4 linked regions of the Caenorhabditis elegans genome follow. The protein of the gene in region 3 interacts with the protein of the main gene of each other region in a pairwise test. Each region holds a gene or a part of one and is shown on either strand. Other genes may lie near its edges.

The links.
Region 1: the proteins of ftn-2 (region 3) and gst-33 interact in a two-hybrid assay, tested with the Caenorhabditis elegans proteins (one large-scale study listed by BioGRID).
Region 2: the proteins of ftn-2 (region 3) and W07G4.5 interact in a two-hybrid assay, tested with the Caenorhabditis elegans proteins (one large-scale study listed by BioGRID).
Region 4: the proteins of ftn-2 (region 3) and nhr-51 interact in a two-hybrid assay, tested with the Caenorhabditis elegans proteins (one large-scale study listed by BioGRID).

What each region holds. Positions count from the first base shown.
Region 1 is NC_003283.11:3,464,730-3,472,443, reverse strand, and holds gst-33 (glutathione transferase), read left to right. Parts: upstream 1-3,881; 5' UTR 3,882-3,954; coding exon 3,955-4,014; intron 4,015-4,278; coding exon 4,279-4,672; intron 4,673-4,723; coding exon 4,724-4,911; 3' UTR 4,912-4,993; downstream 4,994-7,714. Other genes in the region: oac-2 (Acyltransferase), read left to right, coding at 1-172, 236-403; srbc-29 (Serpentine Receptor, class BC (Class B-like)), read left to right, coding at 1,562-1,656, 1,708-1,784, 1,833-2,197, 2,514-2,621, 2,668-2,766, 2,808-2,954; slc-28.1 (Sodium/nucleoside cotransporter), read right to left, coding at 6,305-6,378, 6,432-6,703, 6,751-7,019, 7,257-7,438, 7,497-7,714.
Region 2 is NC_003283.11:13,044,452-13,052,074, reverse strand, and holds W07G4.5 (RILP-like protein 1), read right to left. Parts: upstream 4,096-7,623; 5' UTR 4,077-4,095; coding exon 3,830-4,076; intron 3,774-3,829; coding exon 3,143-3,773; intron 3,064-3,142; coding exon 2,901-3,063; 3' UTR 2,837-2,900; downstream 1-2,836. Other genes in the region: srr-1 (Serpentine Receptor, class R), read left to right, coding at 25-163, 210-496, 891-1,065, 1,109-1,369, 1,422-1,484, 2,077-2,247; W07G4.8 (TonB-dependent receptor), read left to right, coding at 2,526-2,709, 2,755-2,831; lap-2 (Putative aminopeptidase W07G4.4), read right to left, coding at 6,179-6,331, 6,491-7,417, 7,476-7,623.
Region 3 is NC_003279.8:3,677,290-3,684,430, forward strand, and holds ftn-2 (Ferritin), read right to left. Parts: upstream 3,639-7,141; 5' UTR 3,611-3,638; coding exon 3,554-3,610; intron 3,506-3,553; coding exon 3,152-3,505; intron 3,103-3,151; coding exon 3,001-3,102; 3' UTR 2,891-3,000; downstream 1-2,890. Other genes in the region: rab-8 (Ras-related protein Rab-8A), read right to left, coding at 5,982-6,371, 6,431-6,491, 6,539-6,693, 6,741-6,770.
Region 4 is NC_003283.11:15,670,146-15,678,838, reverse strand, and holds nhr-51 (Nuclear hormone receptor family member nhr-51), read right to left. Parts: upstream 4,833-8,693; 5' UTR 4,814-4,832; coding exon 4,760-4,813; intron 4,712-4,759; coding exon 4,370-4,711; intron 4,317-4,369; coding exon 4,206-4,316; intron 4,159-4,205; coding exon 3,906-4,158; intron 3,575-3,905; coding exon 3,219-3,574; 3' UTR 2,955-3,218; downstream 1-2,954. Other genes in the region: Nuclear hormone receptor family member nhr-52, read right to left, coding at 816-1,163, 1,210-1,257; K06B4.15 (DUF1084 domain-containing protein), read right to left, coding at 7,055-7,130, 7,181-7,262, 7,330-7,414, 7,710-7,784, 7,829-7,981, 8,281-8,340. UniProt on the Caenorhabditis elegans protein: Orphan nuclear receptor.

The sequences.
Region 1 (7,714 bases), on a different chromosome or scaffold from region 3:
GGGAGCCCTTCCAACTTATCCGGTCAATTTTTTGAATGCGTTTCTACAAAACGTGATGAAAAGTCAGGAAGATATGGAAAAATTGCACTTGAACCAAAAAACAGCGGATGAGGATGTGAAAAACGAAGTAAAAAGATTCGAACTTGCAGAGAAACGGTGCAAAAAGTGTCAGGTATGCCACATACTTCATAATTCAATTGAATCTCTTGATCATTTCTAATTAAATTTCTCTTAGTTTATCGACTTGAATCCCGCATTCTTGGAAAAGGGCAAGTACCTGACATTTGATCGAAACTCGCTACTATCCTACCTAGACAATTCTGGGCATTTGATGCCGGCTGCTGTCAAACTTTGTGAGCCTATTCTCGAGAAGACTATCGGAAAAATTAGAAACGAATTGTGATTATATGTGTAAAAAATATAGTTGTTTTATTGTCTAGTTTTGAATAAGAATTGATATTATTTTTCAGTTTTATTTGTTTTTTTTTCTAGTCCTTACTTTTGTATTTTCGGTATATTTGTACACTTATTGGCAGAAAATGATCCTTAAATAATGAAAACACCTTTTGACCCGGAACCTATTGATTTTTCAAGAGCGTCAATACCTTGTAAATCCGTTTTTGGCAACTTCTCTTAACAAACTCAAAATAAAACACACAGAACATTCTGCTTTCCACTAATTGAAAAACAACGGAAGTTTTTGTTTTCAGATTACTTAATTAGTTCCAAAATCTCGGACAGGAATATATTTTTAGGGTAGACATGAATGTGTGCCATGTTTGTTTCTTATTTGAAAGAAAAATTTCAGCTCATTAGATCAGTTAGCTTACTAATTCAAACATCATAATATTTTTTAAATTTCATCCTCACACAACTTATGCTCACTTAAAAAAATTATGTTTGAGTGGCATATTTTGAGAATTTCTTAAATTTTGATATTTTCAATTGATTTCCTAACATTTTTCCTGTGGAAATTTGGTTAATTGTGACAATCTTAATATAGTTGTTCATCAAAACTAGGGTTTCGTGGGAGGTGGATAAACGCCAATTGCCGTTAATGAAAAATTTGAATATAAGTAAAACTGTTCATTTTTGCAATTTTTCCAGTTTTTCATAATTTTTTCAAAGAATGTCCTCCTCAGTTTTCATGATAATTTTAGGAAAATTTCTCGATTTTGCTGCTTAAAATCAAATTTTCAGCATTTTTTTGTAATACAAGAAAGCTGTTGGTAATTGGCAAATTGGTGAAATTCCAGTGTGCCGGTTTGCTGAAGTTTTAATAAACGGCGACTTTTTTTACCTAAAAAAAAATTTTGCCTAAAAATATTGGACCAAAATAGTTTTCACATATGATCTGAATATTAAATGTTTTCATTTTAAAAAAATTAAATCCTTTCTTCCTCCCTATTCACATTTTTAAAAAGCACATGAGAGTGAGGGTTTTTTGCCGCTTCAATAAAAAGTTTTGCCTTTTTTTCGCTGTTTTTTGCCGAATTTTTTGCCGCTTTGCTTTCAACAGTAACTGGCGGAATATTTATGATTTTCAGGAAATTAATCCATTATGAATACCATCCTTGTACTGGTACTTGTGACTGGTATAGTCTGTGCAATATTTGATGTCCTACTTAATCTCAATTTAGTATGGATAATTGTTTTGTGAGTCTAATTTTTGCATGCCATTTTTCTCATTATATTCATTTATTCCAGGAAAAAATCCCAGCGGAAACCTGAAATGCGATTATTTTATTATCGATTCGTTCTGGACGTTTGTTTTGGTCTGTCGTGTAAGCTTAAACCAGTGTTTTCTTTTTTTCTAATTAAAAAATTTCCAGTGTTGTCATACATCAGTTTCCTTTTATTTTATTCTGAGAATTCATTGTTTATGGTCGAACATCGCAGCTTTTTAATTTTTTTGGGCCTTCCTTGGTATATTGTCGGATCATGCCGTTCTATAATCGCACTTTCAATTGCACTAGAACGAGCCACTGCAGTGTACTTTCCAATTTTATACAGAACTAGTGCTCAGAATGTTCCGAAATTTTTAATTTTCCAAGTTGCCCTGGTATATGGCTCTTTCGATTATATAGTTCTATTTGTATTTTGTGACTGCAAAACAAATTTAATTCCTGAAAACTGCAAGAATTTCGGTTGTGCAGTTAACAAATGTTTCTCCAACTATTTCAGAATTCAAAGAAGTGTAAGTAAACTATACAATAAGCAGCAGACATTTTTCGGTTTCGGGCAGTTTTTGAGTTTTTTTGGGAATTTCTAACTCGATAAAATATTTCCACCTGTCAAACTTGAAATAATAGTGAAAAAGCGGAATAGGGCAAAAGTGTAAAATTATGGTTTTTAACCCGGGACTATTTTGGCCTCCTAATAAATTTCAAATATTTGTTTCTGAAAAAAATTTTGTTTCTAAAAATTCAAAAAATCTGGAAAAAAAAGTTTACCAGGTGAGACAGGAAATGTTTCTAAAACTTCCAAACACAACAAAATTCTATTCATTTCAGACTGTATTTTCCATCAACGTATTTGTATCTATACTTCTCTTTGTCAATTTATTCCTACGAAATCGGAAATACTTAAAGAAACATCCAATCAATAACAAACCTACAAAAGTAAAAACATGTTACTAAATTATTTTTTCAATTCCTCAATTTCCAGGCAAATCGTCTGGCATTACTGGACACTTGTACAGTGTTTTTATTTGATTTTCTTCCGGTCTTTTGCGGCGGGATGTGGCCTAACATTTTTTCAATTGAAGTAAAAAATTTTTATTTCTAAAATAAGTGCACCCTTTACAGGTTCTGGGTCCTTTTACAGCGGTAATGAAAACCATCGGATGTGCCATAGAATCAACAGTCGTCTCAAGTCTCTTGTATTTTGGAAAGCCAAAAAGTGCAAAAATGAAAAGTTCGGTCGCGGTTGGGCAATTTAAAATTTCCAGATAGCTTTTGAATTTTTCGATTTTTTATAAAATAAAACATATATTTGTATCGGAATGCCAAATGACGACTGCAAATAAAATTTCATTATGGTATTTAGGCCCTTTTGATAATTGAAAAATCGAAGTTCCAACCAGGAGTGGGCGGCAACGATTTTTTCAGCAAATCGGCAAATCGGCAAACTACTGGAATCGAAAATTTCCGCCAAATCGGTAAACTGGTAAACTGTCGATTTGCCGAATTTACCGGAACAACGGCAATTGCCAAAAATTTTCAGAAAATTGTAGTTTTGCACATTTTTTTGTTGAAAATTTCTGAATTTTTATTTTAACCGGCAACATTGTACGCATCTCATGTATGCTCTTACATCTATTTTGGAAAATAAGCAAATTCCTTCGAAAATATCTAAACCAAACGAGACAATTTTGTAAAAGGCACAGTTTAAAGTGTTTGCGTCTTATAAAAAATCGCTCTAAAAACTTCCGGCAAGTTGATGTTGGGCAAACGGCAAATCGGCAATTTGCCAAAAATTAAATTTTCCGGCAAATCGACGAATCGGCAAACCATATTCAAACCCCAATAATTTTAAAATACAAAAAATTGAAATTAATTAAAATTTAAAAATCGCAGTAAATTTAAAGTTTTTGATTGCACTTAAAAACGTATTTCAAATTATTTTCGAGAAATTTTATTACAATTTTTCAAATCCAAAGCTTAAAACTCTCACTTCCTTAAAATAATTTTCTTCCTTCATAATCTTCACCCACATTCTACGTCATATTGGAGTATGTGTTTCTCATGCTTTGTGCCGATTATTTGTCTCACTCTCTACCACTCTCTCATTCTCCAATACTATTTTCCGTGCCTAGTTTGTGCCTAGACCCGAAACTGTGTACTTTCTGTTTCTATGAATTTTTCTGATCAAAATGTGACTGGGTGAGTATATAAACAGTTTTCGGAAAGTTTTTTCCCATCAGATTCTAAATTTGACACACTCGAGTTCAACATGACCAAGTACCGTCTTCACTACTTCAACGCTCGCGGATATGCAGAGGCTTCGAGAGCTGTAAGTTTCAACTTAAAACAAAATTGTCTAAATCCAAAATTGGTTACTTTTTGTGAAATTTTGCTTCTGAAGGTAAAACAAAATTAGAAGAATAAATCGTAGGAAAAAAATTATCTGGATCGAATTCCAAAATTTTTGAAAATCGGAGTTTCACTACTTTTTGACTACCCATAAAAATTTCTAAATTTTTAAAAAATTTCTACTACGAGACTTCAATTTTTTCGAAACCTTCCACATTTTTTTATTAACTGAAACTCTCTCCAGATGTTCCATATGGCCGGCGTCGAATTCGAAGATGTCCGATACGAAATCGATGACTGGATCAAGGAAGAAAACACCCTTAAAAACGAGATGCCGTTCGGGCAAATGCCTGTGCTAGAAGTCGACGGTGAGAAGATCCCACAATCCGTTGCAATCGCTCGCTTTGTTGCCAATCAACTTGGATTTGCTGGACAAACTCCGGTAGAGAAGGCCTGGGCTGACGCATTCACCGATCTTTACAAGGACTTCTTGATTGACATGAAGCCATGGGCAATGATTGCCTTTGGGTATCCTGGTGCTGCTGGGGATCGCGACGAGTTGAAGAAAACTTCGTTGGACCCTGCTAAGGAGAAGTATTTCAAGCTTCTGAGCAAGAGATTGGAGAAGAGCAAATCTGGTGAGTTGGAAAAAATAGAAGGCGTTGAAAAATTATATCATTTATTTCTAGGATTCCTCCTGGACAGTGGAATCTCGTTTCCCGATCTCTTCTTCTTCGAAACCACAACTTCTTTGATTGAGTTGGAAAAAGGATTTTTGGGAACCGATTTCCCAGTAGTCAATGCCTACTTCAAGCGTATCGCTGAGCACCCGAAGCTCAAGCCATATTTGGAAACAAGACCATACTCTTCAAAATAATTTTTTTTGGCTATTTGAAATGTTTTTTTCATGAATTGTAATGTTTTTGTAAACTATTTGATAAATATGAACATTGGAAATGTAGAAAAAGTTGAGAAAAACTTTATATAAAAATATGTTTTGCCTGAAAATTATACGTAAAAATTTTTATGAAAATTTTCAAAAAAAAACTGAAGTTTGTAACGAAACTATTAACAAACATTTGCAAAAAAATTTAATTATTCTTATAAAATGCAGTTTACCGGTTTCAAGCGATTCCGAAATGGACGCAGCAAATTCAAAATCTAGGAGTTGTTTAGCGCGCCCGACATATTCTGGGTTCCACCACCCACTTAAGAAACATAATGAATGACCGATCCCGAAAAAAGTCGGACGCGCAAAACGCCTACCTTTCGCTCACAATCAGTTTCGAAGTTCCCAAAATATGTATAATTTAATTATTTTTTTTCCGTTATATAAAACAGTTTTGAATTTCTCAATAACTCAATATACAGGGTGGGCCAAAAGTATGGTAACACGCTTGCAGCTCTATAACTTCACGTGTGGAGAGAGTTATTACATCAATTTGTACAAGTTTTGTTCTCCATAAAATACTGACCAGATGAACGTTTTGAATTTTCAAAATATCCCCATCCACATTGCTGCAGGCCTTCAGAACTTTTGAGATCACGATCTTTTTGGCACGCAAGTTGGCATTCTGCGGGATTTCTACATTTTTCTCAAGGAATCCATTAAGTTTCTTATAAGTTTTTATAGTTCAAAGAATGCTCTTGGTCTGGAGATTCTTTAAAAACAAAAACCCAAAAAATTTCTATCGTGGTATTTCTGTCATGGACTGTGGCAGTAGCTGAAGTCTTGAATGACACAGTCACCAGAAAGATGGATTGCGAAACCTAAAAAACTGAGTAAATTTCGCAAAGTTGAATTCATGAAATATTCAAAGGTTATTGCTAGGCGCCAGTGCCGACACAGAAAATTTTTATAGGCTACAAAAACAATCAAAAGCGCTTCTTCACTTCTTTAACTTTGAATTTAACATAAAAATCATATGTACATCTGAAAATTATTGGCGTGCGTGGGAGGTGTGTTTGTGTGGGAAGTGCCGCGTGCCAAAACACCGTTTTTTCGAAAGGGTTCGCTAAATTGCCGAGGTGATTAAAACCGCACCTTATTGGGAAACATTGCAAATTTTAGGTCAAATTGAAGGAAATTTATTCAGCTATTAGTATTCGATAGAAGAATGTACGTATAACGTGGCAGACGCGCGAAAAGCTCATGTAAAAGAGCGCTTCATGTGTTACCATACTTTTGGCACACCCTGTATAAAGTTTATTCAAAATTTTCATAGTTACAAATTAAATTACAAAACAAATATCCACAACACACCCTCATATCATGAAGGTATCCTAAAACACGTGGAATTCGAGTTTGCACTGTTACAAACCACTGGATCGGAAATTAAGATTCCTGAAAATTTTTTCAAATTAATAAATTTAACTTCCTATTCAAAACCCTCTAACCTGCAACAGTAGCATTCATAAAACAAGCGATGGCTCCTGCACAAAGAGCACGGAGCATAACCTTGGAAGCCACGGTTTTCCTCCCTGGAGCCAGACCTCCAATAACTTCCATTTGAATCCCCATTGAGCCAAAATTGGAGAATCCACAGAGTGCGTAAGTGGCAACTAGCACTGATTTGGGATCCAGCTTGCCTTCTTTTTGAAGTTGACCCAGTTTATCATATGCCACAAATTCGTTTACGGCAGTTTTGGAGCCCATAAGTTGAGCCACTCTTTAACAAATATGTGTGTTTTTTATTCGAAAACAAACCTAACTCACAACAAGGTTTGATTCGAATTATTGGTAATACCCATTATGTATGCCAACGGGAAAAATGCATAACCAAATAACATTTGAAAACTCCACCCATCATACCCGATTAGGTCACCAATGTAGAAGAAAATTTGGTCCAGCAGAGCTAATAGAGACATGACTACTACTAAAGTTGCTCCAATTGCAAAAACCGTAGGGACTAGAGCAACTCCCGCCGAGCACAGAGTATCGAAGAATCCTTTTTCGTTCTCATGGTCCAGCTCGAAGTCTTCTTCCTGGAAAGGATTTCAAGTTTCAAGATTTTATCTAAGTTTATCTAAGTTTATTTATCTAAGCCTCTTTGTCGGACTCGTGAAGGTCCCGACCTTTTTTATTGTTTCGATTAACTTTATTAAAACAATAAATTCACTTATGGGTCATCCTCAAGGCAATTAAAAAAATTAGACAAGCATTTTTCTATGTTTTTGTATGTCTGTCTGTCTGTCTGGGAAATATTTGACACAAAACCTAACCTTGATAATTGTCTCCTGTTCTTCTGGGTACATGAGTTTTGAACACGCTAATGACATTGGAGCTGAGAGAATACTTGCGGTTAGAATCGATTCTGGGCATGCTCCAAGAGCTACATAAGCGGCGAATACAGTACCACCAGTGCATGAGAATCCACTAGTAAGAACTGCGAATAGCTCGGAATCTGAAACAGAAAATAGTATCAAGGTTCCTTATGGGATAACTGAACACTTCAAACTCACCAGTCAACTTCTCCAAGTATGGCTTAATCACCAGCGGAGCTTCAGTTTGACCAAGGAATGTGCACGCCCATGAGTACACAGATTCCACTGGCGTCGTACCAATGAGCACTTTCATAAACCATGTGCTCTTTTTCAGTGCGATTTGAATAATTCCAAAATAGAATAGTAATGCTACAACCGCCGAGAAATAGATCAGTGTTTGAAGTGAGGTGAATATA
Region 2 (7,623 bases), on a different chromosome or scaffold from region 3:
AGGATAATTTAAATACGTTTTTAGATTCTCTGGACTAGATTGTCATAAATTACGAAAAGAAAGCATACGATCAGTAAAAGGAATACTAACCGGAGGTGTAGCAGTAATCATTCTTATTATCTCTATCATCAAAATTATTGTATTAATGCAAATTGAAGATAAAGTAAGTAACATTCAGAATATAAAGCATGCGAATAATTTGTTTTCAGTCATTTTCAATTGGTTGGGCAGAATCAACAGTCTATGCTTTCATGGCAGTGCAAGCATTTTTCAGTGCAATTTCAGTAATGTGCTGGACTCGTGAAGGATTTGTGTCCCAGTTTGAAGACACACTTGCTCGATTAAGAACAATGAGATTATCGACAAGTCAAAGCATTGATGACTATACGACTTATCACAGAAAAGCTGCAATAATGATTATTCCAATATTTGTCGTATCTTTAAGCACTTCATTTTATTCTTCTGTTACCAATCGGTACATGTTGAATGATTCTACGTAAGTTTGAATGTGTTTTATTTCAAAAATGGTATTAGGTTTTTGTATACATTGGAAAACATCTGACTGGGCATGTAAATATTTGTTTATTGACCTGTTCAATGAGGAAGGGGTCTAATGAGAAAAGGCTATTTTAGGTTAAAAGTGGAGTATCGTCAGCGGGAAAATTATTTGATACTACTGAAAATTACCACATATCATAAGAAACCTTTTAAAGAAAATTTTCGAAAATATTTCGTTTTACAGTCTACTGTTTTACAGTGTTGAAAGTGGTGAAAACTCAGTTTTAACCTATCATAATTTTGGAAGTCCATCAGGTTGTAAGCCGTTCTTTATCAAAATTCCATCAAATACACACCTATAATATATTGTTCCTAACTCTATACAACTTCAGCACATTCTATTCTGATTCCGTGGTCCATCAGCTAGCACCATTCATTGACTTTATCGGATGTATTGCCTCTGCACTTGCAGTTGTTATTTATGTCACAGTAAATACAGCTTTGAATCGAGAAATCAAACATTTCAATAAAGAACTAACAAATAGTGCAAGATTTCAACAACTTACGGTATTGATTCTTATCATTTTATTGTAGTAAATCCAAATTTCAGCTGCCTCAAGTGTTAAATAACTACAGTAAACGGCACTCGGATCTAATTCAACTCACCAGATTTGTGAACCAACAAATGAGCAAATACGGTTCACTTGTACCATTATTTACTTTAATTTCATTTGTAAATGCTGCATATATTGTTGGAAGTTTCAAATCTGTTATGGATCCAGCTATATATGTTCTTCTCAATGGATGGACTATTGTTTGTATGGGAATTACTGTTGCTGGATTATCGCCACCAGCAAAAGTTCAGAGTAATGTAAGTTCTTGCAAATTATTCAAAGATGTAAAACTAAATAAGACATTTGTAGATCCAGGAAACCGCTGAAATTTTAATGCATGACGATGTACTGCAAACATGTGGAGATGATCAGGTAGGTATTTCATAACCCTTGTGGGGGATGTTTTGTGGTTTTTGATTATTTGGCTTTCTCTCGAGTGTTGAAAACTTTAACATACATATGTCACATAAAATGTGTAATGCTCAGAATGCCAAAGATGACTCCACCCATAAATTGACTCTTTTCAGTTTTTGCAAAAAATTGTGATTGTTCATTGCAACTTTGCTGATCTTTCTTTATATATTTCCCCTAAAATATTAAACTGAGCCAGCCATGTTGTTAATCACCCATTATTTGTAAACTTCAAAGTATTCATTGATAATTTTTTCGGCAAAAAGTACTGGCAAAATGCCAAATTTGAAAATAATTTGAGCTTTTTAATAAATCGATAGCAGTTTCGCATGTTTAAACTCGATTGAAACATATTCAGAAAATTATATTAAGACAAAAAAGGTTTGTCGACTTCTAAATTTACGATAGATGAAAACTGAAAAATTGTCACTCTTTAACAATTTTTGTTACAGTACTCTTTGTTGGAAATTCTTGTTTTCAAGTGATAATCGAGTTCTGTTGAAGTTAAAAAACTCACACAAACTAAATCTAATCATTCAAAAAACATTTTCAGATGCATCACACCTATCGTGTAACTCTAGACCGTTGTCTTCATAGCAATTCAAAAATGGCTTTCCTAAATGCCTTCCATGTCGACTCGAATTGTTTCAATCGAATCATTTTCTTTGTTCCAAATATTTCCGCAGCCATGATCCTCTACAGATTATCTCATCCAAACTTGTGAACCTTTTCCACTTTTGTATTTGTATTTTAATGTGTTTCTGAAAACCCAAAAATATCCATTTTGGTATGAAGAATGGACAAAATAAAAACGAAAAAAAACATGTGTTTCTGTTATGTATTTCCGGTACAGTACAATAATATTAGGTACAATTTGGACATTTTCACTTTCACTTTGAAATTATGAAATCTAGTTTTATGATCATCCCATAAAATTGAAAAATCCCTCACTTTTTGGAGGTATACTTGTTTATTATTTATTATTCACTATTGAATATTCAAATGCATAGATTTCTACTTTTTTCAATTCTTTTTCTTCTAATTATATCAGAAGTTTTCTCTCAAACAATCCCTCCAAGGGAGTCAGAAGTAATTGAAATGAGTGGAGATGCAAAAAGTGTAGTTGATTTGCTTCAACAAATATTAGAAGCCAGTCGGGCACAAAACATTAATCAGCAATTTCGAGGTAAGTGTACTTTTCCGAATTCTTATCAACAAAGTTCTCTTCCAGTCCGAACTGTCGACGGAAACATTATCTTGGAATCTGTCGACTATAAACCTGGAGCACTTGAACATTTGAATTCATGAATTGATAAACTGTACAATTTGTTTATTATTGATGAACTGGCTCAAAAATGAAATTAAAAAAAAACACCATTATTGGCAATACTTCTGAACGAATCTTCTGTGATTTGCGGCAGGGCTTTGATCTTCATCTTCATTCATTTCTATAGTTGTTGGTTGTGCTTGTAGCCATTTGGAATTTTCGGAATTTTGAAGTTTGCTGATAACATCGATGAATTTGAATGAGTCAGATGAGCTGAAAATAAATGAAATTTTTTAAAGTGGCAATATAGATTTCTAGTTGGCTTTCCACAAAACTAATATTAAATACTCACCATTCGGTATTGATGTCCTCTCTCTCAAAATCATCCTCGTTGTCTTCACCATCATCTCGGAATCTTGCTGGAACTGGAGGGCGTGGTAGGTGTGTTGAAGAGCTTTCTTCATCGGAATGAAGTAACCATTTACTAGCTGGCTCGTTGTGAATAGTTTCAATTCTATCACGGAATGCCTTGTCGGCGTTGGCAGTATACTTCAAGCACATTGCCACTTCATTTAGAAGTTCAAATGAACTTGCATTGCTCTCCGAGCTTTCACTTTTCGATTCTCCGCTTACAAAAGACGATAAGTCGACGTTGAGAGCAGCATTTCCATCTGGTAGACGGCTCAGCCAACTCTTCACAGTATCAACTTCGTGTGGAGTTTCAGGAGATGTGTCAGTTTTGCTCTTCTTGGTCAAAAGCCACATGTTGTCGTCGTCATATGATTCCATATCAAGAGGCAAAGTACGTCCGACCTTCTTCATTGGAAGTCGTTGACAATTTTGTGAAATTCGAATTTCTCCCATCTTGAGAATACGTTCGTGCATAGCTCTGATGTCTGAGATCGGAAGATCCAGCTCAAGACGTACGTCATCATCCACATTCAGAATAGAATTGCCAGCAGGGAGCCCAAGATTACAAGCGGCTGAAATGAAGAGAAATGTGAAAAATAATTGAAAGCAAATAAATTTCGTCACTCACCAAGTTCTTCGGCAACAATATCCATCTGGTTCACGAGTTTTCCTTCTTTTTTATAGAATGCTCTATCTAGATCTCCAATAAGTTGTCTTTCGCGTTCTCTAAGTGATACAATCATTGCAGCGATTGCTTGACGAATATCTTGTTGAGCTTTATATCGATTCAGTCTCAAATTGTTTTGCACTTCATTCAGCTTTACACTCTGAACTTCCAAAAGCTTTACGAGTTGCTCGGATTGTGGAACTGGCATTGTGAGATGGCTTACTCCGCTGAAATGAAAATAAAAATTAACTTTAAAAAAAAAAATCACGGATGAATAAAAATGGAAGATGAATGGTTAAAGAACTGTACAAGATTAAAGTTAATAGGCGGTTAGTATTTGGTGGCGCCAGTTTCAATGAATGCAAAAGGCGATAGGGCGGCGCGACGTTGCATCTGTTACACCTTTGTGTTGGCAGAGAATAGGAGGAAAATTGATCGTCATATCAGTCATATTACCTATGATAACGAATACGTATGCGGTTTGTAGGCAAAAAAGTAACTGAAAAAGTGTCAAAATTCACGTATGAAAAACAAAGATCTACCATTATTCTAAATGCTCTTTGTATTCATGAGCTCCCAGGAACATACGTGGGAGAGCCGAAATCGATTTTGAGCAGGGCGCATAAAATAAGAGGGGAAAGAATGAGAAATGAGGAGAAAGAAAACGCAGAGCACATGGCTCCACCCCCACTCGTGTTATTTTTGCATAATTTGTTTTCTCCCATTGTTGTTTTTTTTTCTTCGCGAATCGTATAGTGATAAGAAACAAAAATGTTATGGAATTTAATGAAAACAAGTTTTGAAATTTGAATTTTTGTCTGAAGAAAAATATTACCCAGACGCGAAATTATGCGACTTTTGGACAAAACTACGGTCCAAGGTCTTGACACGACACAATTTTATTATAACAAAAAGGTGTGCTCCTTTAAAGAGAACTGTAATTTCAAACTCATTTTTTGCGTTATTCTTATCGAATAAATACAATTTTATTGAAAAACTATGCAAAATCGATGAAAATTAAGTGGAAAAAAAAATTTGAAATTACAGTACTCTTTAAAGGTGCACACAATTTTTATTTAACAAAAATGTGTCGTTTCGAGACCGTGTACCGTATTTTTAGCGAAAAAAACGCAAAATTAATAAAAGAGAGCAAAATATTCGTTCGTTGCCGAATGATATAAAGAATACAAAAAGAGAACAAGGTTATAAAGATAAAAAGGACAATCTAAAGTGTAACACCCATTGAGGTGGTCTGACTTGAATAAGAAGAACATGTGAATGGTTTGGGATCTCTGTGTTAAAATTGAAAATTGATAGATAAACCTGTTTTTTGATGGGTGAGGTGATAGGTTCGAAGGTTGGTCGTAAATTTTAAAGTTTTTTTCATTTCTTCTCTTAGGATTTTCATTTTTATATGGCTTGGAATTGATCATATTATAATGTTCAGCTCGATCTGAAGCATAAAGTTTTTTAAGGTGAATTTTATGCCTTTCTTTACTTTTGTTAAAACTGTTTTAAATAATTTTTCAAAATAAACATTTTAAAAGAAACTACCATAAACTTTTTTGCTCATCGAGACCTATCTGAATAACTCTGTGCGCCTTTAAGAAAGTATGCCAAAATCGTTGAAACTATAATGCAATAACTACAAAAAAAATTAAAATTCTCTTGAGAATTCTCGCACAAGTTTTGAAATGTCAACACTTACACACCCTAAAGCTGTAAATATAACAAAATTTTGAATTCTTGAAAAAAATACAAACTCGGAATTTCAGCTATTTATTCAAAGTGGAGCCACTAAACAAGGTCTTGAAAAGTGGTTTTTGACAGTCCATTGACACTTTTGGTTTCAGTTCTTTATCGGCACAAAGATAAGAAACAAAAAAGACAAAGAGCCTATAATAAAACAAGAAGTGGACACACAACTAAAAGTTTGATAAGTTTTTTTCTCTATTTGGATATTTATACTTCTAATCCAGTCTTTTGTTCAGCCGGAACTATTCAGTTGTGCATGTTGTTTGTGATTTTCTGGACAAACGTATTTATTTTACATGTGAGAATGGAGGAAGGATTCCGGGGGCGAATGATAAGAAACAAGCTCTGGTTCCCTGTATAAGGGCTAAATAAAGTTGGGATGCAATTAAAATAAAAGAGAGAGAGAGAGAGATATGATATCATATCTTTTTCAGTATGGAATTGAAAGATACGGTATTGAACTAAATATGTGTGCCTGGCAGAAAACATCGGTGCACAGCACCAAAATGAGTAGGGAGAGCATTAGAAAATGGTTAACGAAAAATCGGGAAATTTCTAAACGTGAGGAAGCACAAGGCCGGCGACAAGGGTGACAAGTGGATTAGGGAAGCTAACTGATGGATGATCTCCTGAACATCCTCCCATGTCGATATGAGAATACTTCAATGGGTGAGAACTGTTTGTGCCATGTTCGTCAATGCGGCTAGCCTGAAAAATTGTTTCAAATTTTATTCCAGAGACAGAAAATTGATCAATGAAATTGTTAGTTTATAATTTAAGGACGAAAATTCATATTTCATATTTTTTGGCTTTCTGAGTAATTTTTAAATTTTACTTAAACGACAAATTTCATAATTGAGAACGTACCATTTGCAAGAATGCAGCTGGCGTCTGATGACCTCTGAGGGTAGCAACTGATGGCTTTGTATTTCCCTGCCGAAGATCAGCCTGTTCACATTCGGCCATATGGAAAGCGAAATCCTCTGGATGAAGTCTGCTGATCTCAATTGGTTGTCCAAATTCATCTCCGACATTCTGCACACGACGAGCCCATCCACTTGCTTTAGCTGGACCATTATCCATAATAGCTGCGTAATATCCGTATGAAAGAACTTCGTGTCCGGTCAATGTGGCAACAGTGAACAAATGCGGATTTTTAGCATTCAAAGCTTCTTCCTTGGCAAGAGTGAGGGGGTCAAGCATTGTAAGTCTTCCTTCAGCATCAGTGTTATAAATGTGAATTCTCTTTCCACTTCTGGAAGTGATAACCTCATCACAAGTATAAGCATGAGATCCAATACTGTTGCGAACCATGCACATGTACCCGACAGCCTTAATGTTCTTTGGTTTCAGAACATCGATAGCCTTGAAGAATCCACCGACAACTGCAGATCCGTACTTGTCACGGCACATTCCGAACATGTGTCCTCCAGTCTTCAAGTCACAGCCTCCAGTATCAATGGTAACTCCCTTTCCAACAACGAAGAATGTATCCTGAGTCTCTCCTTCACCAACATATTCCAATCGAATAAGACGAGCCTGATGCTCCTTGACACAATTGGCGGCTCTATTGACAGCAGCCATCAATGGGAAATCTTTCAAAATGACACTCTGATCGTCGACGACTGTTACTTTAATGTTTCCATTTGCAAATGCACCTTGGATATACTCAGCTACACGTGGTGGAGCCATGCGTTCTGGTCCAGCCTCTCCAACATCACGGCACACTGTGAACGAAGCATCGTAAGCTTCAACAAGCTTTTCCAAACGGGCAGATGTGTCACTGTTTCCGATCTGAAAAAATATATTAATTGAAATTTGTTCTACCAAAACTGAAAATTTCGAAACTTACAGCCAATAATCCCAATTGATTCAACTTCTGCTTGTTCTCCTCTTCACGAACATTGAGTGGAGTGTATACTGGGGTAAGAGCTCCGAGTGCGGCAACAAGTTCGGCATTTGGGAAGCGAGAATTTGGAAGTGTGATGAGAAGTGGAGAT
Region 3 (7,141 bases):
ATAGATGACTGAGGAAACGCCTAGAAGTGCCTATCGTGAAAGTACGAGCAGCACAAAAGCCAAGCTAAGGGCGGAGCCTATTCTAGGGGTTTCCGACGCTTTTGTTTACTTTTGACTTTGGTTATCATTCAGAAAAATTTGTAGATTAGGGATTACGTAAATTTCCATAAATTTTTTGATTTTTGGGTTAACCGGATATTTTGGAATTTTCTAAATTTAGATATTATGGAACAATTTTTGGAAAAAAATTATTTTTCGGATAAGCTAGAATTTTTCGAAAGTCTAGAATTTTTGGATATTTCAAAATTTGAATTTTGGTACAATTTTGGAAAAGTGTGGTTTTTTTTATTTATTTTTAAAGTTGGGAAAAGTTGGAATTTTCAGATTTAAAAAAAAAAAGTTTTTTTTGCGATTTTCGGAATTTCAGAAGTTAGTGAATTGAATTTTTGAAACAAACTGGGAAATTTGAAAAATTTTCAAACTTGATAAAATTTAACTTTGTACACTTTGGACAATCTGGAGCAGGAAGCTTTTAACTTTGTACAACGAACTGGGAGATTTTTAATTTTTGAAAGTTTTTGGTTTTTGATTTTTAAGTCCGAAATTTTTGGTTTTTTACATGATATTGGCTCCACCTGCATCTTGGCTTATTCTTTAAATTTGCCGGACAAGCCACAAAACCCAAACAATTCGTCAAATAATCTCTCTCGGCCAATTCAACCAGCAAACGTCTTCTTGTCAAGTACTTTTGAACAGGAGAACGGGGGAGAGGATAAACGGACAAGTATGACGGATTTGACAAGGCTAATCGCTCCGAAGTCTCACTTTTTCTTCGGAATACTTTGTATTGTTAGGTTCATGACCTCTTATTATTTGACATTTATGGGGGAGAGAAGATTTGATTCATAATGGATGTTGGAATTGGGTTCAAATTCACTCGGGACCCATGTTGGAAAGTGTAAGGTTTTGAGAGTACGGTAGCCTTCAAGTCTGATAAATATTGAAACTGAAAGGAGAAAGTGTTTTCCGGGGAAAATGTCAAAGTCTCAAAACATTTCTAGCCACAACAAATTTCAAAATGATTTTTCCAAAAAAAGCATCTTTCTAGCTCTGCTGGAAAGTTAGAATAATAGAGCTCAAAAAAATTTTTCTCGAAATTCAAAGTTTTGGGTCGGCCCCGTCAATCGATATAAGCGCCACAGTAGTCATTTTAAGAGACACTGTACTTATTGCTACGAGATATTTTGCGCGTCAAATATGTTGCGCAAAACGCATTCTCAGAATGTTGTGTTCCCGTAATATGTACGTGGCCGCAAAAATCATAAGGAAACGAATTGAAAACGGTACGATACTTGTGGAGTTTAGTTCGCGGTAGGACCCTGGTCACTAGATAGGTCAACTTTTTGTAGAAAGTGTTATATTAGTTCAAACACAAACTCTTTTGACCAGTCACCTACTCTAACTCTTTTTGTTTACTGGAGACTTTGAATAAGTCGATGAATCATTGGCAAACTATGAAAAGTCACTAAATGTGTATACATATGTGTGTGTGGCCACTCGTCGTAATTCACACAACGGATTTGTATTAATAACAATAAAAGAATTGAATTGCATAAATCTGTCTCTCTTTCACTCATTGAGAAAAGCAGCGAAGACAGCGTTTCTTTTTATGGAATTGAGTGAATTCGTGAGATAATGAAAGAGAATTTAGAGGGGGGGAAATGTGTAGTTCTGGAGTGTAATAAGGAAACATGGTATAGGATTGATAAGATTACAAAACAAATTTGTTGAAAAGCTAGAATGCTTAACTTAAATGTCTAAAAGACCTAGAAAAAGCAAAAACTCGGCCACTCTGGAAAATTGCTGGTCGTGTTTAGTTTTTTCTAGGCTACGTCGCAATCTAAAATTGAAAACATTTTGTGATTCTATCAGGGGTGGGCGGCAATTGCCGTTGGGCAAATCGGCAAATTGAAGATTTCCCGATTTGCTGAAAATTTTCAATTCCGGCAATTTGTGGGTTTGCCGATTTGCCGGATATCAGATTTGCCGGAATTGTTGAAACGGAATTTTTTCTTGAAAAGCGGAAACACTTAAAACTGTGTCATTTTGAAACTTTTTTCCCGTTTTTTGCTATATATTATATTTTCATAGAATTAGCTTACTTTTCAAAGCTGATGTAGGAACATTCATAGGATGCGTACAATTTTGCCGAGGAAAATTGAAATTCTGAAATTTCCAAAAAAAAAGTGCAAAACCATAATTTGCCGTTTTTCCGCCAGAATTTAGCAAATCGGCAATTCACGGGTTTGCCGATTTGCCGGAATTTGATTCCAAATAAACAAATATAATTTTAAAAAACTGTGAAAATTTTTGAAATTTCTGAAGTTTCTAGTCAAAGGTTTGTTTAATTGCCAAATTCTGCAATAATTTCCGAAGTAAATGTGAAGCTTCAGTGGCAAAAATTGAGTTAGCACAATTCTTTGAACAATTATTGAAAAATCAAATAATAGAAAATCTTACTGTTAGAGTTAAAACTGATGTGTTTCAATTCATCCATCACACCTTCCGAATCAATCTTTCCCCAGGAAAACAAATCAAAATAAACAAAAGCGGAGGAGAATGTCCTTCTTTTCCTGGCGAATCCATAACTCATCTCGCTAACCCATTTGCATCGCTTCTCGATTGCAAAAAAGTCAAACAAAGGCCGATGGAAATCTTCTAATCTGCCTGCTTTTTGCACTTCACACTCATTCCTATTCTGTTCCATTTTCGATTTCGAATTCCGAGAATTTTAAAATCGTCTTTGGAAAGTTAAAGACCAAACGGCTTATCAAGAAAGATTGTGACACGGAATTAGTATGATAATGAACTGTGGCAAACAAAAACGCTTCGATCAATACTTTTCATTTGACAGATTGTGGCATGTTTGTAAATTTTCGCAAATAATTATGTACAGAGAGAACAAAAGAAGATGCGATGAGCAGATAAGATATATATTAATTAATCGGAAAAGTGTTCCTTATCGAAGACGTACTCTCCAACTCCTGGTCCGACTCTCTTGAGGTTGGCAACCATGCGGGCGAATTCGTTGATAGATTTGACCTGTTAATTTCATCAGATTCTAAATTAAAAAAAATAGAATAATCCTCACCTGCTCGTCCAAATATTTCTCCTCGATAAAGTCAGTGAGATGCGCGTCGTTGTGGTTTCCGGCTGTCGAGTGCAACTTCAGAAGCGACTCGTTGTTGAACTTCTCGAGAGCCAACGCGGCTTCAAAAGCCTTCAAGGCGGTTCCCCACTCATCATTCTCTGGCTTCTGGATGTCCTGAAGCACGACACGTCCTCCACGAAGATTCTGCACACGCATGAGCTCGGTAGCATGCTCACGCTCCTCATCCGATTGTTCCTTGAAGAACTTGGCAATGTTTGGAAGGGCAACATCGTCACGATCGAAATAGAATGACATTGAAAGGTAGACGTATGAGGCATAGAGCTCAATGTTGATCTGAAAAATTAGGGGATTTAGTTTAGAAACATCGAAATAAAGACGTACCTGCTTGTTAACGGCAGCTTCAACCTCGGAGTGGTAGTTTTGACGAGCGAGAGACATTATTGATGGTAGTTTGTGGCTGGTAAGGCTGCAATACTGCTCAATGAGCATAAATAGTTGGTATTTAAGCAGGAAAGGGGTGGAGCACGTCGGGAGGCGGAGACGGTGTGCATCTTATCAATTGATAAGGAACAAGGTTAAGGAAAAGAATGAGATTTTGAGAAGGCAAAAAAACTATGATCAGCGTCAGAAAATGGCAAAAATCAAGTGAATTGGAAGAAAAGGAAGATAGGGCAAATTAAGTGCGAATGAAATTAGAAACTTCGAAAATGTGATCTCAAGCGAAAAAGTTGAATTTTTTGTTATTTGTTCTACTTATTACGGAACACAAAATTCTGAAAATGCGTATTTCGCAACATATTTCACGCGCAAAGTATCTCGTAGCGAAAACTACAGTAATTTTAAATCGACACAAGCGCTACAGTAGCCATTTAAAAATTAGTGTGGATTTCGCTTCGAGATATTTTGTACGTCAAATATGTTGCGCAATACGCATTTTCAGAAACTTGTCTTCCCGTAATAGTATTATGCTTCAACTTAAAAGTTCCTTTATTAGGGGAACCACTCGCTTTCGAAATGCGTATTGTGCAACATATTTGACGCGCAAAATATCTCGTAGCGAAAACGATTTTTGTAATGAATTTCTGTGCCATCGATATTCAATTTTTCGATTTTTGTCATTTCGATAAATAAATTATTTTAATACATTCCGAAAATTGAGCCCATAAATCGACCTACAGTAGTCATTCAAAGAATTACTGTAGTTTTCGCTTCGAGATATTTTGCGCGTCAAATACGTTGTGCAATACGCATTCTCAGAATTTTTTAAAGTAATAATAAAGTGTTTTTAGTGTTCAGGAGTTACAAGAATCTAAAATTCAAGCAAATAACATACGACTGAGAGAATCCAGTATAACTCCGAGTTTTGATGAGTGGTCTAATTGCATTCTTAGCGAGCATTCGAACAGAATTCATTTTTAAAAATGAAATATATTTTGAAGAAAAGAAGAAGAAAAACGAATGTTAAAAAGTGACGTGAATTCGGTCATGATTATTGAAAAGGAATGAGTAGAAATCGGAATCTTTCTGTTATGTGTACAATCTAGGTCGTATCCCGTGATTTCTGTTTGTCCCTGACCCTTTTTTATCATCATCGGTGAATCGATAGCAATGAAGTAGGAAAGTTGATCATCATTCTGCCATCATATCACGTGAGTCGTCACCAAATGGAGCCGGGGGTTTTTGTGTGTGTGCGTGCACAGTTGAGATGCTGATAAGATAGGCTACGTGAGTCGCTTATCAGGCGGTACGTGCTCTCTGTCGTCGCCGTTTGACGAATGTCTTTTACTCTTTTTGTCTTCGTTTTTCCATTGATCAACTAATCAAGCAGACATTTATGATAACTCAAACCTTGACAGATTTTTTCTTTAATTACATCAGATATCTTAATTCTGAGAATGCGTATTGCGCAACATATTTGACGCGCAAAATATCTCGTAGCGAAAACTACAGTAATTCTTTAAATGACTACTGTAGGTCGATTTACGGGCTCTATTTTCGAAACAAATTTTTGTTCGAATTGTGACAACGATATTCAATTTTCTTTAGTTTTTTTAAACGAAAAATTGGAGGAAAATCGAATATTGTTGTCACAATTTAAAAAAAAATCGTATCGAAAGACCAGCCCGTAAATCGACACTTCAGAAGGCATTTAAATAATTACTGTAGTTTTCGCTACGAGATATTTTGCGCGCCAGATATGCTGTGCAATACGCATTCTCAGAACTTAGCGTCTCCGTAATACTTGCAACGTTTTTCGTGTTTAACTATTCAAAATTGTGGTACTTTCTACTATTCAATGTCGCTGGTATATGAATCTGACTCTGCAAAATAGAAGCTCAGTAAAAAACTTCTAGAAAAAATTAATTTTAATTTGCATGACCGACAAAACCCCAATATTCGATCAAAATTCAGAAAATTCAAAAAACTTGGGAAAACATGCAATTTGGTTCATACATTCGCGAAAAAAATAAATCTGAAATCCTGAAAAGAAATCTCATCAGAATGCTGGGTGTAGGGGGGTGAATTGAATATGCGAGAGAGAGCGGACACAGAGAAATAGACGGGACGAAAATGGTAAAAACAAAGCAAGTGTTGGTTATTATGGTCAGAAGAGAAGAGAGAAGAAAAAAGGTTATTTTTAGAATTATAACCGTACTGCATACAAAAATGTGCGAAGGAGGAGTTTTTGGAACAGAAAATTCAAACGGAAAGAAAATATGAAAAGAGATATGGTACACTATTGAAGTTGAATTGAATTGAATCACAATCAACTTCGAAAAGGGCAGAACATGGCGAGAGAGCAATAAATTTAAAGCAAATTGCAGCTCCAGTTGCTGAAGAAGCTCTTCTTCTGTGTCCCCGATCCACCGACGTTCACACGACCCGTATTCGAAACTGATCCACCGGCACGCATCTCGTTCTGCTCCATCTTGCTCTTGATATCACGAGCCAGTGTGAAGAAAGCTTCATCAATATTCAGATTGGCCTTCGCCGACGTTTCCAGGAATTTCGTGCCGTACTCGATTGCGAGCTGCTCTCCACGGTCCCGCGACACTTCACGGCGTTCTTCAATATCACATTTGTTGCCGATGATCATCCTCTCGACATCCGAAGCCGCATGCTCTTCTATATTGCGAATCCAGTTTTTGATGTTTTCAAATGATCGCTCGTTGGTGATATCGTACACCAGAATGATTCCCTGAAAGATAAATTAATTAAAATTTGAAATTTTGTGAAATAAATTTTGATAAAACATGCCATAGCACCGCGGTAATAAGCCGTTGTGATAGTTCTGAATCTCTCCTGCCCGGCTGTGTCCCTGAAAAAAAATATTTATAAAATCGGATTTAATAAAAACTAGCTCACCAAATTTGAAGTTTGATTTTCTTCCCATCGAGCTCAATCGTACGGATTTTGAAGTCGATTCCAATTGTTGAAATGAACGAGTTATTGAACGAATCATCTGAGAACCGGAACAGTACGCACGTCTTGCCGACTCCACTGTCTCCAATAAGCAAGAGCTGTAAAACGATGTTTTCTTGACATCTTGGCATGCAAAAGTTCTCACCTTAAACAAGTAGTCGTAAGTTTTTGCCATTTTATTGGAGTGAGTGAGAGAAAAGCTCTGAAAATAGGAAAACTATAGAAAAGTAACGCGAAATCGAAGAAAAACAATTAAAATAAAGTGAGATTAAAGGTGCATTGAGTTTTTGACACTGATGGGTCCCGGAGCGAAAAGTACAAAAGCCTTTCATTTTTTTAAATTGTTTAAAAACTGTAATTTTATTTGTTTTGTTTTACTGTTTTTTAAATTTTCTTTTCAATTTTAATCGAAAGTTAAAAGTAAATGAGACTTTTAAATTGAATTTTCCAAGTTTCATGACCGCAAAAAATGAAAAAAAAAAAGAAATGAACAGATGTCACGCTGTGTGTGTGTGCTCAGTTGGTTTGAGGATAGCTGGTCAATAT
Region 4 (8,693 bases), on a different chromosome or scaffold from region 3:
TATTTCAAAGTAATATTATGTATGAGATCTTTGGCAAAAATCGGCAAAAATTGTCAAAAGTTGGGCACCGCTTAAATTTTTAAATTCTGTCTAATTCCACACCTGGGGAAATTTTAGGCGTCTAAAATTGTAAGATTGACATTTTCCATTTTAAGGTGCTTCACTGCAGCTCAAAGATCTTTCTTAAAAAGCTTTTCAAACAATCTCAATTTCTAAAACTCAAAAAATATGTAATCTTCGTCATAACACAACTTATGAATAAAAAAGGAAGTAATTAGCACGAAACAGATCAAACGTTTTTTTTTAATTTGTTAATTTTTTGGAAAATCACTATAGTGCAGTACACAGTTGTAAAAGCTTCATTACAATTAGCCAGAGCAATGAAAAAAATATCTGGAATTTTTCTAGGCTTCCGGAAAGTCATTTAAAGTTTGAAAAATATATTTTCCGTCGCTTATTTTCTTTTGCAGGTTTGTAGACTCAACATATTTTTTTCAAATAGCACAGTGTTAACTTTAAATTCCACAAGTTTAAATTTTCACTTCCTTGTCAGTTATACTTCAATTTCAACAACACCTGCTAACAAGGGAAGTGTTTAAATGGGATTCCTGACTTCGGAACAAAAGTAGTGTCAAGCCACAGTAGGAGGTCTGAGACGATTCCTCTGTAATTTCCAGCTGCTATGCCCAAGGGAGCTCCGAGATATTTTGGTCCGAAGTTTCATCACTGATTTCAGTTGATTTTGGTCCCTTCACCATTGTTTTACAATGGAGGGCACTGGTATGACCCTTCTGGACAAGGTAAATTCTACTTACCCTTTTCATCAACTTCATCCTGCTGCGATCTGCCAAAATATCGTCCATACTTGGGTCCTCCAAAGAATAGAAGTTTAAAAAGTTGGAATAATGAACACCATCTTTCACAGCAAGGTTTCCGAGTAGAATTATCAAATCTTGATCCACCGAATTATTCAGGTTAAACAATTGCTGTTTCGGTTCCGAAAATCTCATTCCAATTTCTAGGCACTTTTTGAATCGACAAAATTGACACTTTGGAAGAATTGTGAAGCTTTCGAAACATTTTTTGTCATATTTGCAGGTAAACTTTGCGTAATTTTTCGTTGCTCGAGTGAAGAACATTTTGCACGCCGAGCATGATAACGCCTGAAATATTTGTGTGTTTTTTTAGTTAAAGATATGTGAATCTTACGCCAAAATTCCTACTGCTAGCATACGAACAACAAACTAAACATTTCATTGAGAATCGAACCGGGTGAAATAAATAAGCATATATTTGAGCCAGTGGCTTGCTCACTAGTAGTCATATAAGCTGAAATCAGGAGAAATAGAGCAAGGGAGAGAGGGAGAGATAGAGGTGGAGAAAAGACCAAGAGATTTGAAATTCATTTAGCAGGTTGATTTAATGCAGCATACACCGGTGGATACAAAGTACGAAAAATGTTTTGTTTGTGGAAACATGGCCACCCGCAAGGCGACTGCCACTCGCCCGGATATCGCCTCTGCAAATGTTAAAAACAAAAACGAACCAAAACAATTCCCTTTTTGGTTTCTTAAAGAAATATTCGTATGGTTTGCGGTAAGACTCGAGGGTGCAAACAGGTAGGTAAAAGGCGCCTCGATAACAAAATAATATTACTACTGTGTTCCTAATTTTCCTAATTTCTTTGAGCTTTTTCATGACCGATCTCTTGATTTTAGCGGGATTAGTTGGTTTGAAGCGGATTTGTTTGAATGAAAATCCCTCACAATCTCTCAAAATCCACTACTGACGTATTTTCTAACATCTCTGCCAAACGTAAGGGTTATGAAACTCCTAGGACTGTGCCGCCCGTATCGAAGCCGCCCGCCTTCACTATTGCCTCCACGCCTTTCGCCGGGAAAATGCCTCCGAAAAATTGACTAATAAAAATGAAATGAGAAAAAACACAAATTTGTTTGTTTTTTGTAAATATACTGACGAAATATTTGAGAGCAAGGCGGACGGTCTTACTATAAGAGGCTGTAAAAGTGCGTTCTGATCATGCCTTGCCAGGACGGAGCGACTAATAATGTATCCTATATGTCCTCAGGTTTCCAGTGACCGGTTTCCAGTGATCAAATGAACCTTTCCCGGTTACCTACTCATTAGCGTTTATGCATTCCACTTGACTTGTAATCGCATTTAGCTACCGCCTAGTTTTGTTGTTTCAAAACTTTTATCTAATTTCGTTTCTCCATGCTAAAAACAACATCAAGCTCCAAACGACAGGTGGATTTGGAAGCCAAGGAATGTCTTGTGTGTGGAAATACTGCGTACACTAGGAATTATGGGGTAAGAAAAATACATTTTTGTATTAAAATCATAGGGCTCAAATAAATTATTCCAGGTTTTCTCGTGTTCCGCCTGTAAGATGTTCTTCCATAGAACGCTCGAAAAAAAGTTGCAATTCACTTGCAAATCGAGCAATCAGTGCTCGACGAGCTTTAAAGTTTATCCAAAGTGTAAAGCTTGTCGATTTGAGAAATGTCTGAAAGTTGGTATGCGATACGAGGCAACTTTTCTGGAAATTGAGGATCCGGACAAATTTTGCAAATTACTCCAAGATTTGAGTGTGCGGGATAGCCAAAACTATTCCACTTTTTCGAAATTTTACTCTATGGAGAATCCTAGTCTGGAGGATATTTTGAGGGACAGGAATTCTATGAAACTTGTTGAGAAAGTTACTAGTCCAAGAAGAGAGGAATGGCTCTAAATTTTAGTTTTTAGAAATCAGGTGCCGAGTTTCCAGCTAGCGACTTATTGTTTTTGGGTGCTTATTCTAGAGTATCATATTTCTTGGATTTTGATTTTATTCAAACAATGAGTGATAAAGATAAAACTATTCTTCTTAAGTACCATGTCGTACGAACCGGCTCACTTGCCCGTGCAATGAAGTCTTTTGTAGAAAAACGAAGTCTAAGCGAGGAGTATAGGAAGCAACTGGTGGATTCTTAAAGCTTGCTGCTGACTTTGCATCCCAAAAGCCAGCTGAAGGAACTGAAATTGATCGTGACGCTGCTCGTGCCGCATTCAATCAATTCCTTGGACAAGTTGACACCTATATTAAGACTCAATCTTCTGAAGATCAAGCTGCCTACGATTCCTTCATCGCCAAGAAGAAGTCTGAATTTGAGGCTCACTTCGCTTCCAGAAAGGCTGATCAGTAATTTTGATTGTGTTCAATGAATGAATTTATTTTTATGAAATATAAAGTCCTGAGAACTGTCGGCACACGGTTTTTCGTTTAAAATTTTAACGTTCGACTTTTTCTGTACAACACCACAATCCACAAAGGTGTCTGTGACGAGTTGCTTGAACTTGAAACTTGGTATCATACACTGAAACATCATGCTGACGTGTTGCATGTCATTGGTGACACGATTGATGACGTGAACAAGTGAAATAAGCTCTTGGAATCTGACAGGCGCAGTTCCTGGATTTGTAATTTGTAGGTGACGGAATAAGGCAGAGCTGTATTTGATTTGGTGTGAGGCCAGCGTGTTTCGAGCGAAATCCGAGAGATTGTGGGATATCGCTGAAAATTTTAAAATTTTCTGTTAGCAAGCTTGGAGTTGAAAGCCTCAAAGGGATTTGTCAGGTCAATCAACTGTTGATGACTCTTTTTTCGAACCAATCAGGCGCCGCGCCCGCCTAGCGGCGACGTCCGCCTGCCTCGCACCGTGAACCGCGGAGAAAGATCCACCTTTCGTACTATGTGGTGTTAACACCAAGCCTTTGACTTCTTGCCAAAGTGCAGAAATAAGGGAGAGGCCGGCCTGAGGGGGCAGGTTGGAGGCAGGTGTCAGGCCCTGAACCCGCGCCTGCCTCCTATGGAAGCCTTACAGGAAACACATGTAGAAACTTACTCGGATTACAAAAGAATATCAGGCTAAGCAATTGATATTCTTCATTTGTAACTTTCAACTCGATGAGCTTGGAAACCAGCAGACAACATGTCCTGTTCAAAAGCCCCGGAGAATCCTTGAATAGATTATGGACAGCGTCTGGGTAGACATCTTCTCCAGACGGCGTCAAAAGACAATCTCGTTGTTCTCGCAATGTTCGCATACTTCCGTGGAAAACTCCTGTTCGCAAGCAGTTGAATGAAAATATTAATTTCTCAATATAATTTTTAAAGTTAAACCAACGAAAAAACTTATCCTTACTCTATCAGCAAAGCTAATATTATTCATAAATTCAAAATTTGAAAAATGGGAGATCCTGGAATACACGTCAAGAAATGCCCATTCGTGAGCGGTTACTTTCTGATTGGAAGGCTGTAAGAATAGTTTTCTTTGGAGGGTTTCCATTCCGAAATCCAAAAAAAAACCTTTCTCATAATTTTCATCACATTAGAATCTACCAAAACATCTCCCAGACTCGGATCCTCTATTGAATACGAGTTGAGCATTCTCCAATGTCTTTGCTCATCCATTTCGCTGAGATTCATGAGCATTCGCTGTATCTTTAAATCCATTGATTCTTCAAATGATTTCACGCGTCGAGGGAAGGCTTGCATGCCCATTTCTAAGCATTTTTGATAACGACACGCTTTGCACTTTGGAAGAATAATGAACTTTTCGTAGCACTTATTGAATTTTTGGCAGCAGTAATGTAAGTTCTCAACGACCATTCGATGGAAAAACATTTTACAAGCGAAGCACGATAATACCTGTTCAGAAAAGAAAATTGATGAGGTAGGTATAGGCAGGGAACTCACCCCATAATGCTGCCCAGCTGCTTTTCGATGGCAAATCAAACAGTTTTTGTTCATTTTAGGTGGTTGAGCAGAAATATCCAAAAACAAGTAGTGAGCCGACAGAGAACAGAATATCAATAGACACACAGACGAAAAAGGAAAATTCTTGCAGGTGGATTATGTGCGAGATTTTGGAAATAATGAACCGCGAGATGTTGAAAAGCGTGTTGAATGAGAAAGTAGTCATTAGGACAAATGTGATCACTGAGTTTTTATATGATCTTTTGAGCTTTGGAGAGCATATCTCTGGCTCAAAATTAGCGCTCCAAATGATACCATGACTAGGAAAAAGTTCTGAAGGTGCCAGCGGCCTGTTTCATTCAAAAGACCATGTTCAGAAACAGTCCTTTTAGTTAGTGAGGGAGTTTTGGGTCTTGTCGTTGGTCTCCGAGCATTTTCTTTTACTTTCCGACAAGCTCTTTGAATTGTAGGCCTTCAGATTTTGGGCCTTATTGTTATGATTTCATAAACATAAGCATCAAAAACTAAGAGGATCTTATTTTCTGTTTCAGACAGCCTTCTTCCCTGCAGTCTACTCAACGTCGCACAAGTGAGATAAAAATAGATTTGGGTTTTGTTTGCAATAGACCAAAAAATAACCTCATCTTGCACATAATCAGCACAGAAATCATCAGCAACCCGGTCATAAATAGCATTGAAATTGGAGCCAGGCGGTTTGTCCCTGAAATTTTTTTACTTTAAAATTGATTTTCACCGCACGGGCTCTATTTTTCTTTATTCTCACAGTTTTTCTTTCAAAAAATCGTGACTTCTCACTGATCGTCATAGCCTTGAACCCCACTGATGACACGTTTCGCTTCCAAAAATAAAATTTCGAAAAGTCAGTCTTCGGTATTTTCTTTGTCGGATTCGGCGGTCTCGTTGGATTTTGTGAGTTCTAGTCGGCAATATTTTGCAAAAATCAATCATTTTTCCAGAGTCTCATTATGCTAAATCTCAAATTTCTCATCTTCTGCGTGATCATCGTGATCTTTGCGATTGTCAACTCGGACGCCGGCGACGGAGTGGACGTGAAAGTTTGTCAGGTTGCCGAAAATGTTGCTGTATACTATTTTCCAAATCATTAGTGGAGATAAGTGCGGTAAGCCATCGATTGCCCATCACTACTATCGTTGCGGTGATGACACCAACGAATGCTGTATTGCTCTTGAGGTAACGTCTCAGGTCTTCAGATCCTGAAAAAGCTTTAAAGAGCTTGAAAGAATCGTCTTAATTTCAGATTTGGGTGTACATTTTGATGGGGGTCTTCATCGTGTGCTGCTGTTGCTGCTGTTGCGGTTGCCTCTTCCGTTCGAACAACAATTTTAATAATTCGAACAACTCTTATGATAATATAAGTAATGATTCTGAATAATATTCGATTTCATTTTGAACAAATAAATATTACACAGAAGGTTCAAGTGTATGAAATACGGTTCAAAAGCAGTCGCCGGATTTTCTGTGAAAAAAATTTAGACTTTAAACACTTCGTAAAATAAGCTCGAAAAGAACTCTAAATAGGAACGATAGGTGCTAGATTTCAACAATTGAATAGGAAATGTCAGTTGTTAGATGAAAGTAAGCAGTTAGAGTAACTAGAACTAAAAAACTGGAAAACTCCACAGTTGACTAGGTTTTAATGTTTTTATTCCAATAATCAAATACCAATGTGAACTGTTTTGAACTATAAATATCTACGCTACACTAGACATGTCTACATTTTACCTATGACAGTAATCAGTTTTAGTGTTAAGAAAGCTGGAGCGGCTGAAAACTTTGTGAAACTGCTTTTGGAACATCTGTCACCCAAGAAAGCAATTCTTTATGAAAGCTGTCCTAGTAATATAATATTGTGTATCCATTTCCCTATTATTTACATACAAGTGCAACATTCTCAATAGTAACAATTGTATGTGAGTAAAAAAGTACTTCAAAATTAGTGCTCCAAATGATACTATGACTAGGAAAGGGTCTGAAGGTGCCAGCGGCCTGTTTCATTTAAAGGCCCATGTTCAGAAACAGTCCATAGTGAGGGAGATTCAGGTCTGGTCGTTGGGCTTCAAGCCTATTATTCTACTCTCCGACTCTTAAGCTCTTTCAATAGTAGGCTTTCAGATTTTGGGCCTTATTGTTATACTCTCATAAAATTAATCGAAAGTGAGCAAAATGTGTCGTAAAGTTACAAGTAGATTTTTAGGGTGTCATTTATTTTTGAAGAAAATAAATATCAAAAATTTAGACAATCCAATTTTGCTTTTAAACAGCCTTCTTTCCACCAGTCTCCTCAACTTCGTACAAATCTTCCAGCACCTTCTTAGACGACCGGAAAAAGCTGAAACAAAAATAGATTCGGGTTTCATATCGAATAGACCGGAAACTAACCTCATCTTGCACATAATCAGCACCGAAATCATCAACAACCCGGACATGAATAGCATTGAAATCGGAGCCATGCGGTTTGTCCCTGAAAGTTTTAATTTTAAAATTGATTCTACAAATGAAATTTTAAAAGACTAAAATATAATACTAACAATACAAAAACTGTCGATTGTCCTCAACTTTCAAACGAAGATAAATGTAGAAATAGAAGATGGTGGAGGTGACTAGACGGATTGCCTGAAATTTGAGCGCACATTAAAAATTCCGAGGTTTTTTTTGCGGTAAAACTACACGGAAAATATCGAGAAATTAGAATAATTCTGAATTTGTTTTAAACGAAATCTTTTCTTTTTCCAGTAGGTGTCAGATTGTCCCATCAATTGATCTACAAAAAATGCGGGATTTTTTCACACATAATTATGTGACGTCAGCACGCTTTTACTATTAGCCATACGAAATCTATTGAGAAGTCTGCGTCTAAAATCCCGCATTTTTTGTAGATCACATCGAAGTGAGACAAAACTTGAATTACCCCTAAAATTCCGCAGAAACTGAACCATCGCTTGTTCTCCGGCTCGATCAACACGAACAATAAACCATAGATGATCTGTAAAGCTTTTCTAAAAATTTGAATTTTTCATATCTACTCACCGCAAAAAGTATGAACGAAACGAAGAAGCCGATATTGTCAAAACGCTCGACTTTGCGATCTCCGGTAACTGCGCAGAATGAATCAAACAGATAAAGCATCGTCTGCCAGAGATACAGGCACATGTAGCCGACACTGGTCATTGAATATTGATTCTGAAATTTTCAGACTGTGAACAATTTACGGGCTTCGACCGCGACATTTCGATTTTGGAGAGCAATGCCTACATGCCTGCCTACAGCCTATTATCCTCATTTTGGTGAGAGCTCAGTTATTTTTCACAAAAGCTCTGAGGATTGTGGACAATTTTGAAAGCTCGTCAATTTTGAGAGCGAGAATCGCTTTGTGTAGCGGAGCGCGATTGCATAACTCCATTTTTCTGTCCACGGCCGAGGTTCACACACAGCCACTCTTCCATTTTTGCAAACGAAGAACTCTGGAACCTATAGCTCACCTCAAAAGTAATGCCAAGTTTGAATAGAAAATTTTCGATGCCATCCACAATTCGCGACATTTTGCGGCCGTGACCGAACGAAGGAATGACGAAAATTGATTACACGGCAGTTTTTATTTAGAAAAAAAACTAAATAAAAAAATGAATGTTCACGGGATTCAATAAATAAATTTTTTGAACATTTTTTGTTACCCAGACGCGAAATTTACGGGTTTTAGACAAATTTCTCAATTTTCAAGAGTTGAAATATAGTTTTCTAAAGGGAAAATTAACTTTTTTCTCAAATATTTTTTGGTAGTTTTGTTGCAAATGTTTAGTTCTTTTTGAAAAATCTCAGTACACCTTTGATCAGCCTTTGAGTTATTATGGTAATTAACATTTATAAGCAAAATTTATAATTTTTCAAAACATCA